Lepisosteus oculatus: one gene and its partner. The protein of the gene in region 2 purifies or fractionates together with the protein of the main gene of each other region. This does not show direct contact. Links are inferred from orthologs where the notes say so. Each region holds a gene or a part of one and is shown on either strand. Other genes may lie near its edges.

What was found. The genes of interacting proteins can lie anywhere in the genome.
Region 1: the proteins of utrn (region 2) and dtna purify together in Homo sapiens (affinity purification with mass spectrometry; 3 studies listed by BioGRID and IntAct, with this or other methods). This does not show direct contact. The link is inferred for Lepisosteus oculatus from reciprocal best matches to the Homo sapiens genes UTRN and DTNA.

Annotation. Positions count from the first base shown.
Region 1 is NC_090701.1:46,696,222-46,703,163, forward strand, and holds the start of dtna (dystrobrevin alpha), read left to right. Parts: upstream 1-3,930; 5' UTR 3,931-5,236; intron 5,237-6,942. Other genes in the region: nucleolar protein 4, read right to left, coding at 3,022-3,276. UniProt on the Homo sapiens protein: May be involved in the formation and stability of synapses as well as being involved in the clustering of nicotinic acetylcholine receptors.
Region 2 is NC_090697.1:51,303,714-51,310,720, forward strand, and holds the start of utrn (utrophin), read left to right. Parts: upstream 1-3,985; 5' UTR 3,986-4,089; intron 4,090-4,112; exon of another isoform or gene 4,113-4,323; intron 4,324-6,832; 5' UTR 6,833-6,950; coding exon 6,951-7,007.

The DNA of each region.
Region 1 (6,942 bases), on a different chromosome or scaffold from region 2:
TTACTGGCCCATCAAAAGGAGATCCTGTCTCCGGCAGCGCTGGCTTGGGCGAGACAAAATGAGGTGTCCAAGCTGTGGATGTCATGCACTTTGTTAAAAAAGCATTTAATTGTGGGGTATTTTATATTTTGTTGTTTGTTCTGTACAAGTCTGTTGGATGGTACAAGCTGAGATTGTAGTGGTACATGTGTGTGTGTTTCAGTTAAACACAGTTTTTTGTTCATAAGGAAACTGCAGATTTATTTATTAAATTTGGAGCAGATGGGATTCTAAAATAGGTCCTTCTAATATCTGGAAAAGATCACTTTTTAACCCACAAATGATCAACCCTGTGCACATAATAGACAATACACAAGGATAACATACTACAATGGGGCTGTAGATGTTTCAAAGGGATATATTCCACACCATATCACAACATTAAATGTCTGATTTATCTATTTATGAACTGTATTTATTTTAATAAGCCTTACAATATTACAATTATGATGTGAGATGGCAAGACCAATCATTTAACATAGAGTTGTTCCCTGGGGGGAGAAAGACGATTAAATTATTAAAATCAACATGCCTGTACATTTGATTGTCTTGAGACTGCAGGGCAGCAAAACTATAATCCTGAGAAGCAAGCAAAATAATATATAGTGTTCATAAGGGGACAATGGTTGCTATTCTAAAAGGATACAATAAAGTCTTCCTGTTGCTTTCATTTTTTTCTCATAATCCATTTTCTTAAACAGTAGTTTACCTTGTAAGAAAATTACTTAAAGCACTCATAAATAAAATTATACCGCTACTAAAGTCAGGAAAAATCACTCTCCAGCAAAACAGTTTAACTGTAGACAGCAAATGGCTGATATATAGGAAGTGATATGCTGAAAGAATGAAACATTATTATTATTAGCTATTATATATTTGTGTCCAAATAATTTCCCAAATCAAGAAACCTTGCTGGAATACACACAAAGATGTGTTACAAGTATGCCCCTTGAAACGCAAGCTTGTGAGATATAAGAACAGACGCTTGCCAGAGGAAGTGACACAAACACACAAACCGTTGGAGCCCAGAATGAGCACTGGTAACTCTGTTGGCCAGAGCCAGCAGAGTGTTGGGATAGGTGGAGCAAAAGCCTTGGAAAGAGGAACCATCCATTTAAAGAGAAGCTAATTGATCATCCATTCAAGCCAATCCTGGAGGCACAAAGCAAAATGAAGAGAGGTATTCAGACCCAGCGTGTGTCGTAAATGCGATGAAAAACATGGAGGACCGCCAAGGCAAACCAAGAGACTGCAACGGACACGGCCTGACCTGGACCTACTGCTCCGACCAGCTGAGCTCCTCAGAGGGATCTCTGAATCCCTGGGCAGGACTCAGGTCAACTGCTTCACAAGCCTTTAACGTCACGCCATCGGGTAGAACAGGAGTGTAACAGTAACTTTGAGAGACAACACGGGTGCTTCTAAGCCCAACTGCCTTTAGGAAAACCGTCATTTTTAGTGGTAGTCCTCAGGCACGGCCAGTCCAGGAATTTTCAGGGTGGCGTGGGCTGGGCAGCTGGGTGATCACACCGCGAAAAGTGTGAGTGAACTGCTACAGTACAGTATGTGTGGCTGATGTGTCGAGATCTTGCACATCGCTACCATCCTGGATAACAGGTGGCCCTGCCGACAGGCGAGAAAGACCGTGTAAGAACGGGCCAACTGGACAGTCATCACCGGCCGCGAGGGCTGCGATCCGTGTGGGGGAGGCAGGCGAGCACAGAACACCAGAAAGACATGCAGCCGAGCTCATTCCGAAACATGGGCAGCCGCCGAAAAGCAGACTAAATCTGTGGCACAAGCATGGTACAAACGCAGTAAAACAGCGGAAAAAAACGCCACCCACATTTACAGGATGACCAGCAGTCGGGAGGTTGGTTCCCAAAGAAACAGGGGTTATTTTCAACGTTTGGGGACCTAAGACTCTTCCCTGGTCATACTGTATATTCCTAATAATGAAGATAGACACTTAATAAAAACGCTGCCAGTAAAAACAAAATGTGGCACGTTGCTAAAGTGAAAGAGGTATCAGGTCAAAAACGTGTTTACCCTGCTGTCCAAACACAATTTTTTTAGAAAACGAGGCCTTGCCTTGCATGTACAGTATTACTCACTGCCGACAGCAGTGCCGTTTTTACCTTTTACTAATTATAACCTTAACATGACCCCCCGAGACAAAAGGCAGAGTAAATTAACACTGCGTGGAAGAGAAGTAACGCGGAGTGGTGCCGTGCCTTTGTGGCCGTGTTTCTCCCTTCGCCTGCTGTAGGACCAATAAAGTTGACAAAATCGGAGGAGGATGGTTTCTCTGCTTCCATGAGAATACCATCCCAGATAGGGCTTGGGAACAGTGGTGTCGTAGGCTGAGTATAATTCGGAATGTATGTTTATATGAACAGTTTACAGTATATTTGCAGCATATATATGTGCACTATTCATATATATATGAATATGCAAGCAAGCAAAAATATCCCATTGAATAAATTAAAAGTTCTCCGTTTGAGAGCCCTTACATTTATGAAGGGCCACCTCTGACAAATTATCCCATCATATGCTCCGGTTTTGCCCATTTAACGCACACTGATGTTACACGTGTAATCAACAACAAATCATTAAGGCTCTTCCGTATCTCTTGATCAGCTAGAAGAGGGTGATTTATCACTGGTATTAGGAAACTGGAGTCGGGCAATGGTCTGTGTGCGCGTTTGTTTGGTTTTTTTGGGAGTATGGGTAAATACTGATGAAAGGGGGAGATGTACTGTAATCTAATGGGCACTGCAGCTTTTAAAGGGATCCCTATGACTTTAACAATGAGGATGTGCCAGGCTACAACACGGAGAAAGAATACTAGTTTCAAGCTCATCGGGGGCTAGAATCACTTCACATTCATTTCGACAAAACGTTGTGCGCTTACGTATCGATGTGTTGTTTCATTTAACGACGGGACTGAGGCATATGAGCAATTAAACGTGTTTCACTGACCGTGGTTTTAACTGGAACGTAGAGCACTTGTTTCTCCCCTCCGCTGATCTCATCTGGAACACCAAGCTGAAAGCCCTTGGACTTTACCCAAAATTTAAACTTTGCATTGTCTGTGGAGCTGGACTCGGATCCGTTCAGAAGCTGTACAATCCGGTCGTATTTTTTACGGGTCACCGTCTTCGTCTTCCCGGAATCACCATATGTCCTGAGGCACCAGTCCTGAAACTGGCGATACATGTCCCGATCTCCCTCCATTATCCTGAGCAGGGTACAGAAATGGTCCTCGCCGTTGTCCCTTTTCGCCTTCCTTATCCTCCGACTTTGCACCTGTTCGCCTGTTGTCGGTTATACGAACAAATAAATAAATATATATCCCTCAGTCAAGCCGATGGCGCCTTGAAATGCGGGTCGGAGTTTCTAGATTTACCTTGGCGGCTGGGCTGATGTCGAGGTCCCGCATCCAATCTCCCCCCCCCCACCCACCCCTGTTAATTTTCAATTCATCGAGATCTCCCAGGGCAAGACAATCGGATCCCGGTTGCTTATAGTCTGTCTCTCTTCCATACGTGACCAGTTTCAGTATTCCGCACGCAGGACAACGCCACTTTTTTTTCGGGATATAATGTGCCCCCCCCCCCCCGGGAAATTCCAATATATTCCACCTTCCCGGTCTCTGTGGTATTTCACACACCGGACTCTACCTGGCATCGACCGGATTCAACAGACGGAGAGAAATTAGTTCTCGGTTGTCTCTTTTTCTCTCTGCCCCCTCTCCCTCCCGCAACCCAGCGCTGTTTTGTCCAGGTCTGTGCCTCTCCCCAGTAACCGTGGAAAAAAAAAAAGAGAAAGAAATACGAGCCAGGTCAGGACTCTGCGTTTTAAAACGGACTGGTTGGCGATGCTTGTTGGCCTGGAACCAAAACAAATACTCAATTTAATTAATAATTATAATAGCAGTTGCTCGGGCCTTTCATAGTATCCTGTACTCCTTTGACCAGAAGCGGAGTTGGAGCTGATGGATGTTTGGCTCTTGAATGAATGGAGCTCTTTATACATACAGAGAATATTTGACTCCCCAATCTGGAATACAAAACTAGATCTGTTCATTTATTGAGTAGGGGGAGAAAAAAACCCCACCAACAACAACACACACACAAAAAAAAAACCCCATGTCACAACCAGATGTAAACGCAAATCCTGTATCGATCTGTCCGCTGTTTCGTGAAGCTTTCGGACGTGGACGTCTGCCCCCCGACTCCAGCGTCTTTATCCTCCCAAGCACACGACGGGGGCTGTGTTTCTCGCCTGCACCGCTCCGGAACCCGAAAAGTCTTCCTATCCCGCTGTCGGCTCCGTCCGTCTCCTGGACGCGTCTGTCTGTGTGTGTGTGTAGCGCCGGGGTCCACACGGATGTCACCCTGTTCGGCCAGCCCTCCCCAACCCACCCCTGCCCATAAATTGGAGCCCCGTCCTTTGTGAGGAACGATCTACCTGGCGGGGTCCCAAAGCAGGTCAGTGCCACCGCTCCTATCCTCCGGCTCGGGAATCTGTTATCCTCATTTGAAGAAGTGAAAATACGAACGGTCAGCGGGTTTTTGTTTCTTTGCACCGTCTACCAGGACCCCTCCACTATATATATTTTGAAATGTGCGAGTACGGTGTCTCTTTCAGCGGCACTAAATTACGTGAAATGCTCGACGGCCGGACCAGCGAAATATCCCATGCCTCTTTCCCGCAGTCCTCAAAATTCCTCTCTGGAATTGAAATTATATAACTGGAGAAAGTGATGGAGCATTTTTATTGGATTTTTTGGGCTTCCTGGCTTGATCCCTTGAGGCGGCTCCCCATCCCCTTGTGCGGCAGCTACCACGGCAGGATTGTAGGCTCCCCTCCCCGTCTCCGTCTCCGGATTGTGCAGGAGGTCTGGCGGCGGCTCCAGCCGGGACTGACAGCACGGGCTGAGCGAGCGCTCGGCGCAGAACCTCTCTCCTCGAGTTCTCAGCCATCTGATTGGCTGCCGGGACAAAAGTTTCTGTGGAGACGGCCGAGTTGTGACGTCACAGAAAGAATTGTCCCATTTAGGGATCCAGGGCAGTGCGCATGCTTCTCCTGGCAGGTTGGTTCGTGGGATCCCTCGTGCGAGGCAGGCAGGCAGGCAGGCAGGCAGCACTGCGCTGGCAAGACAGCGAGGTGGCAGAAAGGAGCGAAAATGCAGGTGAATTATTCCAGCCTGGTTGCTATGGCGATTAATCTGCATGGCGCGGGAAGCCAGCTACATCGTACTGCTGGCCCGGGTCACGAGAAATGCGGGTTAAATGGCCAGTTGATCTAAAATGTACACGATGATCAGTAGGGACCGCCGGTCCAGGGTCTTTATAAAACAGAGAGTAGCTAATATTATCCAAATAAGCACAAAGGTGGATAGATCACTTTTAATCTGCCGATTTGGGACCGTGCTTTGGGAAATGTGCTGGGTTTACAGTTTTAAATAGTGCAGAGCTGGAAGGCGAAAGGCGATGGTTCACTGAGAAATTAATTTGCCAAAGGCTGTCTTTAAATGCAGTTTTAGTGGATGGAGGAGGAGCATATCGGCGAATTTGGAGTCAGAAAACCGCCTGTAATGTTGTCACCCTCAATGATGTATTATTTGGTTTTAAAACGTGAGGAAAATGTACAGTAAGTGTTGGTGATGTCTCACCGATGGGCGGGTGGCGCAGTGTTTATCTCTGTGGCTCTGGGTTCAGTGCCGGACTTTGGAAAACTGTCCGCGTGGAGTTTGTGTGTTCGGTGGGTTTCCTCCCACTCTCCAAAGACACGTGGGGAGGTGTTAGGGAGCGTCTGCCTTCAAATGGACTGACATCCCATCCTGGATGTATCCTGCCTTCCTTGCTGGGACGGGGTCCAGCTCCCCAGCGGACCCCGGATGGGCAGAAGCAGTGAGAAAACGGCTGGGTGGTGATGTTTTACAATCCATCTGCTGAGGCTGAATGGCATCCATCATCTCTCGTCAGTCTGCCGAATGGAAATGGAGTAAGTCACGAATGTGTGTTAGATCAGCTCATACAAGGTAACCTTCACCCAAAATAACTTTGTCATAACACCGGAAGTTTCTCCCGTTTAACCCTCTATCATTTAATACCAGCTTCATTCATCGCTAGACATTTCCCCCATCGCTTGTGATAAGGCTCTGGGTGTACATTCGTCATATAATATATAATAAGCCACAGACTACATTTGAGGCTGTCCTACAGCTGGGACAAGAGCATATTCCCTTGCAACATGGGGAAGCACTGCTGTGTGTCCTGATCCTGCGTTGTGAATCACAAAGGTCTTGGGGATATTGATTAAGTTGAATTAAGATTAAATTCGTGTCAGGAATTTTGTCTGTATCACAGGGCCCTACAGTACATACCGTGAGGCTGACACTGGCGTTAATATCTATCACCCCAAGACAAAGTACACTGTTCCCTTCCATTTTTACATCAGATATCTTCACTTTATTTTTTGCTTTTGGTAGAGCTACTGATTGGCTGTGTTTTAACTGTCTGCAGACAGTATCCTTCCATGGTACGGCCCTGATTGAATTGAATGAAATGCTTTGGGGATTAATGCTTTGGGGTGCTCTGTGCCAAACGTCCTGCTCAAGACGATCGGTGAAAGTGTGCACACTTTACAGACGGCTGTGGTCAGAGTCTTGCCCTTGTCCGACCCTGGGGGTAGGTGCCCGGCGCTTCTCTTTTGCTTTTCTCCCGTGCCACGCTCTGCCCTCACTTTGTGTAGAGTGTAAAAATCACCTTTCCTCTCCCTCTGTGGACTACTGGTCTGTTTTATCCCAATACCACCTCTCCCTCGTGCGGCAACACAAAGCTTAGGCATTCCCAAGATCCCTCTGCACAGCAATAGTTTGAAACTGCTACAGTA
Region 2 (7,007 bases):
TTGGATGTAAATTAATCTGTTTTAATCCATATCAAAATGAACTCAAAATATATGTAATCATTCTAACTGCTATACCAGTAGACAAGCTTGATTTACTAAAACACCAGAAGGTCTTTTAATTCATGCTTCATACATTTAATTCGATCTTAACATATCAGTTGTATGAGAAATTCAAAATCATAAGGAAAGACTAATTTCTTCAGTAAAGTTCCGCTCAAATGTAACTGAAGTTGCTCAATGTGGAAAAGCTTCAAACTATTCAAATTATAAATTCAAACTATAGCAATGCTGATAATAATTGAGATCTATGCAACACTTTCTTACAGTATTGGATATTAACTTTATAATATTTTTATTAGAAAGTGTAATGCCCTACACTTGATGATTATGTTGGCTTCTGGTGGAATTCCCCTTTAAATTGTAGGGGAAATCAGAAGACTCAGGACATGGGCCTAAACATTCCACATTGCTTGAACCTTACAATGAGGTTATTGTGCTTTGAATGTATAGATTAAAATGACTTTTTCCCTCCTGGCACTGTGACATTTTCTTAACACATGTCAAACGTTTATCTTTATGTTCTCTTTACTTCAAAGTATCTGCCTTACGTTGCTTTCATAGCCGGTGAAAAGAAGGATTCAATCTGAATACTCAGTGCCTCTCCAATAGATATTGTTGTGAAAGTTTAAAAGAGCACAGCATGTGTTCAGCAGTCGCCTGGCCGTGATGTTTGTAGGGCAGCTAGGATGCAGACAGGCATTCCAATCTTTTGACAAATGTTCCCTTCTCCGTTTACCTGAGCTGTCACCCTACACCTGGTGGAGTGTATAGTGGAGCGCTAATTTGTGAAAATAAAACCTGCTCTTTGTACCATATGAAAAACCACATACAAAGAAGAATGTCAGCTGAGAGCTTGAGGAAAACGTCCAAGCCCTTTTACGGAAAGATCTACATTTCCAGTGTCTGAAATGAATCAGCTCTGTATGATGTTTCTCTCTTGACATTGCTTTATTTGTTTTTTATTATATAAACTATGCACTTTTATAAACTATAAACTGAAGCATTAAGGCATTTATGTTAATATTCTGTACTCTACCTGGGGTTGTGATCTGGTAGAGTGGTCACTCAGGCAGCTTGCAGTACAAGCCTTGAATTGTTATTATTATTATTATTATTATTATTATTATTATTATTATTATTATTATTATGTTCCACTTCTTTTTTAAAAAACAGGATATTTTTAAATAAAGGATGCCTTCACTTCACTCACTGGATACCTTATGATGAAAATAAGTTTTTAAAGCAAAGCACAAAACAGTATACAGTAATGCCAAAACAATATAATTTAAAAAGCAGTTTACTCTTTACCTACGCCAAATTATTCCTTTTACTCTTAAAAGATATAGAGAACTCTTTGCACTAGAGAGCTTAGCACATTTTCTGTTTCTTATTTATTCAACTGTTAACAGTTTTCTAGTTTTAAAGTGTAGCATATTTTAAACTGCAGCTTCTGTGAGTTTTGGCAGCTGCTGCTTCCTTTCAGATGAAAGAACAGTTTGAAATATAAGGCTTTCATCTGATGTTTTTAAAAGGTTTTTTATTTTACATGTACTTACATCATAAACTGAATTGTAAAATATTAAAATTTCATAATGATTTATTAAGTCTGTTATTAAGTGTCACCAATGATTTGCAAAAAAATAAACACAATGTAATTTCTTAAATTCTTCTCAAATATATGTGTATAGCCAAGTGCTTCTTTTTTCAGTAAATTAAGGGGTATAGTAATACCACAGCATTTTCATGTAACATTGATTTGAAGGTTGTTTTCTTTCCAAAAATGGCATTTTGACCACACTTCAGTTATACAATTTCTTCTTTAAGTCTGTCATTGCAGAATACAGCAAGCTTCTTCCAGAGGAAACTGGGATTCAGTACATTAAGGATTCACAGAATGGTTCTTCACTTTCAGAACATGCATCATGCATCACTTGATGCATGTTGGGCAATGTTTGGGAACATTTACAGTTTACTTTCTTTTTATATTATCATCAGTAAAAAAGCAAATAAATGACAAAATACAGCATTTTAAATAATAACATAAAAGTGCTAAATAGCTAAACAAGCTAAAATGAAGATATAGTTTCATGAAAAATTCTGAATACACAGAGATGCAATGCTGGCCCAGTATGTATTTTGTCTCCCAGTGTGAGTTTCAGGGAAGAGAGACATCTGACAACACCATGCAAGGATGTCTGAACATTCACCAGAAGTGTGGAAACATGTTTCAGTGAAGACACTCCCATCTTTTTTCAGAGATAAACCTCCTCCAACACCTGTCCTTTCAATACCCAGCTTAGTGAATGACTGGGACCCCTGGACCAGTGCTCCTTGACCCATTCTTGGTCCAATTAATGTAACTGGTTTTCTGTCCACAAACAACATATAATTAATGGAATTTTTCTGAGTGGATGCAATCCACCATTTACAATAGGTATAATATTAAGAGTGAATGACATTATTTTCCTCAGAGGAAAGGAATTCTGTTTTTGATAGAGGAGGGTTGTCTTGTTTCTGATATTGCTTTCTGGGGGAAACAAAAACTAACCAGTAGCATTACTGCCTTGCAGTGCTGGGGTCCTGGGTTCAATTACAGACCTCGGGCACTGTCTGCTTGGAGTTTGTATGTTCTCCTCATGTTTGCATCGGTTTCCTCATACAGTCCACGAACATACTGGTAGGTTAATTGGCCCTGGAAATGTGGCCCTGGAGTGAGTGTGTGCATGTCTGTGTTTGCACCCCTTGGTTGTCGGGATAAGTTCTATTGTGACTGTGAATTGGACAAAGCAGCTTGAAGTTGGATGGAATAACAAACCACCCAAAGATTATTCTGAAATACCATCACCAGAACTATTTGGAAAACCAAATGAGGGGATGTTTCTTCTGACTGATTTCCAACACTTCAGAGATTCTTTGTTTACAGCTAAAATTTGTCAGAGTTGTGACAGTAATTTAAGTGATTTACTTCTTCACCAAATGTTAGTCCTTTAGGGAACAATGATAAGATTACATGATCCTCAAGCAGGACAGTGCCATGCTACTGAATGGTGTTGTCAGAGGGTGAGAAATTATATTGAAGGTGTTAGCAACTAAAATTGTATTTTGATTTGTAACACCAGTTATAAAGAAAACGATATGAGTAAAGTGGATGTCATAAGAATTAAAAATGAAAACCACCAAAAAAACCAAATATATTTTGACTAACCCAGATTCAGTTAGGGTTACTCAAGAAAAAACTTTCCCCAATAATGTTTCAGCTAATGAACATATCATTGTTATTTAGTTTACTGATGAGTGTTTTGTACTATTAAATTTTAAATACAGACAGTAATGTATTATCTGTCTGTACTACTGCCAGATATATTTCTAATTGAAAATATAGTTTTAAGATAGAGCACCATTGTATAGAGTGAGATATGTCAAAGAACTTTACTTAATATTAGGCGAAGTTATATATTGTATATACACAGCTGAAAAGTAGGTCATTCACGAAGTACAATTCAAAACGCAATTTACAATAATAACAAAGACAAAAACTCCAGAATTTCTAGCCTTCTGTACAAAGGTTTTGTCAACAAGGGGCAAAACCCGAACTGTCACAACTAAAACCAGCTAACTTAAAACACTTTTATTGGTAACTTTTCGTCATTTTCTGCTACAACTTAAGTAAACACTAACGAAAATACCGGTTCTAAGTACAAAAAGCAAACAATTGTGAACTCTTAAGTGATAATATATTATCAGCGACTGACGTGGCGTTGGTAACGAGAAAGGGGAGTACTGTTTGATCCCCATCAAGTTCACTGAGGAGGATGAAAAGCGAGCCCAGCCTCCTCAAACGTTACTGGTGAGTCTGGTGAGCTCTCCTTAAGTCCGTGTCCGGAGTCCGGGGACCAGCTGAGCGACTGAAGGCGCAGTCACGTGATACTGGCTGCGCCATATTCCAGAAGCTGAGCTGTAACTGCAGCGCGAGGCAGGGGAAAGGAGCAACTGGAACAAAGTTTGTGGCCAACTCGCAGAAAGCAAGCGGTAGTATTTTTCTGTTTATTAAAAAAGTGTGAAAGTATCTGGAATTCAAACGTCAGACGAAACGACTTTTTGCAAAGCACCCTTAAATGCACTTTCAAGTATTTTTTTTTTACAAAATTATTGCTGTTGTGGAAACCAGGGACGGATATTTGCATTGTGCATGGTTATGTATGTGGAGAACTTGGCTAGTATCATCCTCTGTTTTGCGTAGCTGCTCTTTGGAAATGTCTTAAGGTAAAGGTCTTGTTCTAAACAAAACTTGCTTTACTCTGTACTTTTCAGTTAAATTTATTTCAAGTATTTCTAAGTTACCTCTAGTTTTCCATCAGGCTAAGGTCAGTAAAATTTAGAAGTCATTTAAGGAGATGTGTATATTTTCCTTGTTGCATTTTGTTGCATTCCTAGTACCGATCGTTTTTAAGTAAGGGTAGCTTAGTTAAGAAATCTAAAGGCGGACCAACGGAAACCTTAAGATTAGAAATAACGAACGTAAGAGTCGTAGTCCTTTATAATATTAAATAGAGCCCGCCAACAGTGAGAAACACTTTTATATGTATTTTTCACTGGGGTTGAAAGTTGACAATTTGGTTTATTGTGGAGACATATTTGTTCATAACAGTTTTGTGCAAAAAATCACCAAACGTTCGAAGAGTGACAGCAGTGCGCTTTTGTATTAGGATCATCGCAGGAACTACCTGCTGTTAGCGTTATGTATTCCGAATAATGAATAATGTGTTTAGTGGGGCTTGCTGTTGTAAAGTAGTACCTTAATTCCTGTTTTTATGATTAACACAAAAGCTCTTGAGTTTCGCCTGTGCTGAGCTCAAAGTTAAAACTTGAGTCAAAGCCCCTTAATAACCTGCGGTGACGATTGACTTCTCCGCCTGCTCAGACTACCTTGTTTTGTATTGGGCGTTTTTTAGGGAACTGCGATTAAAAATGGTTGAGAGGTACGATTTGACGTCGAGCTTGAGCCGTGTTGACATTTGTGTAACCTCGCTCCATTCCTCTGGCCATGCACGGAAAAGCCTTTCCTGCGATGCCAGTCACCGGCGAGCTTGAATGGGCTCGACAAGGATCTGAGAGCACTGCCAGCCCCTCCCAGAGTAAGAATGTTGACGACGTGGGCGCTCGGCTTGCCTAGTGAAAGTGCGGTCTCTGTAACAATGTGACTTCTACATCCAGATACACAGTAGTGTCCCATACGTTATGGAACCGAGTTTATTTTGTTTAGCTCGCCGTTTTGTCGGCAACGTATTATCAAATGAGTGGAAATTTGTTTCCTGCAACAGATTGTTGACGTTTCGATATAACTCGTGAGACATTGGTTTTATGGACTACGATTATTGCCACTAAAAACGAATGAAAATATTGTGTATTTTTAAAGATAGGTTTAAGTGCATTCATAATTAAATTTAGTTCTTTTACATTAATTATAAATTTAAACATAGAATGTCCGCACAGTTAGGTGAGGGTGCTTTCATGAACAGCTATGAGGTGTTAATTTCTTTTTTAGTTGTTTTTCATATCATTTGTGTTTTCCCAGTAGACTTCTAATACTTTTTTTATGCTTTGTCTTCCATTATTTGAAAGTCTGGTTATTTGTGTATTTATACTATTTGTATTGAAAATTAAAAATAAAGTATTGTTAAGTGTTTAAAAATATTTTTTGGGGTTCATCGCACACTGCCTCATTACAAGGCTGAGGTCTTTAGGTATTCTAAGCTTATTGTGCTTTCAAATGTGTGAGCATAGATGTGCCTTCATTACCATAAGTAAAAGAGGTACTGGTAGAGTGTTTTGTGTTTGCTCAAGGTCACTAGGCACTGGTGAAGCATTTAACTGAAGAGCCCACACTACATTATTATAGCTGGGGGTGATCTCTGCCTGGTTTCACTAATGGCATAGTCTTGAATGGTAAATCTAGCCAAACAATAAGTATGAATTGTTTTATGTGACAAAATTAAATGGGAGCTTTCCACCAACCCCCCAAACAAATCAGAAAATGACTTAATTACTGTGCAGAGTACATTACTGGATTCCTTCCAGAAAGCAGTTTTTCAAATGCCTTTGGTCTGTCCCAGGAGTCGGCCGGTGGTCTTGTCTAGACAGGCCGCATAGGGGACAATAGCTTGTGTTTTGTCATCACAAGCGTCAAAAAACGCTTTTATAAAGTTTTCGGTTTTTCATTATGTAGAACTGGAAGGTCTAAACAGGTGATATTGTATCGAGTGTGTATTGAGTCATATTAGGAATGGCCTTGTGTGTCAGGCTGTTTTCAATGACAGCAGTGTTTATACAGTCTTGATTCTTTCATTGGCATACTTTCAGATACCTCTGTGAAACAAAGAACAATAGCTTTTAAAAAAAAAAAACTTAGTCCCCCACCACTGGGGGATAAGTTAAATAAGTTCCCTCCCTGGATCACTTCCTAACATTTCGGGAATTGCCAGATTCAGGATTCATAGGGAAGCAGACCAACAATAAAGCTCTTGCAGAGCACAAAGAGCAGTAACATTTATATCTTATTACTCCTACAGTTAAAAAACAAAACATGCCAAAAACTCTTGATGAAAAGGAATCCTGAGAGCTTTTTTGAAGGGCTTGTGTGTGGACAACGTGGTTTTGAGAAATGAGAATCTGTTTGCCTTGGGGTGTCTTTTTTTGTGCCACAGTACATGTTAATGATAAATTAGGGTCACGTCCTTCTGTGCATTAATCAGTCTCTCTTTAATTTCTCCAGGTGTTTCATGAAGAGTATGTGAAGTTTTGTTTTTTTGCAACAAGACTCCGGAGTTGATTTGATCCTTTAAAAAAAACAACAGGATTACAAACTTTGACAAGGAGGAGGCTTGAAGGACATGGCCAAAGTGGGAACAAGTGATGAAAACCCTGATGGTGCTGCCAACAGTGAATTC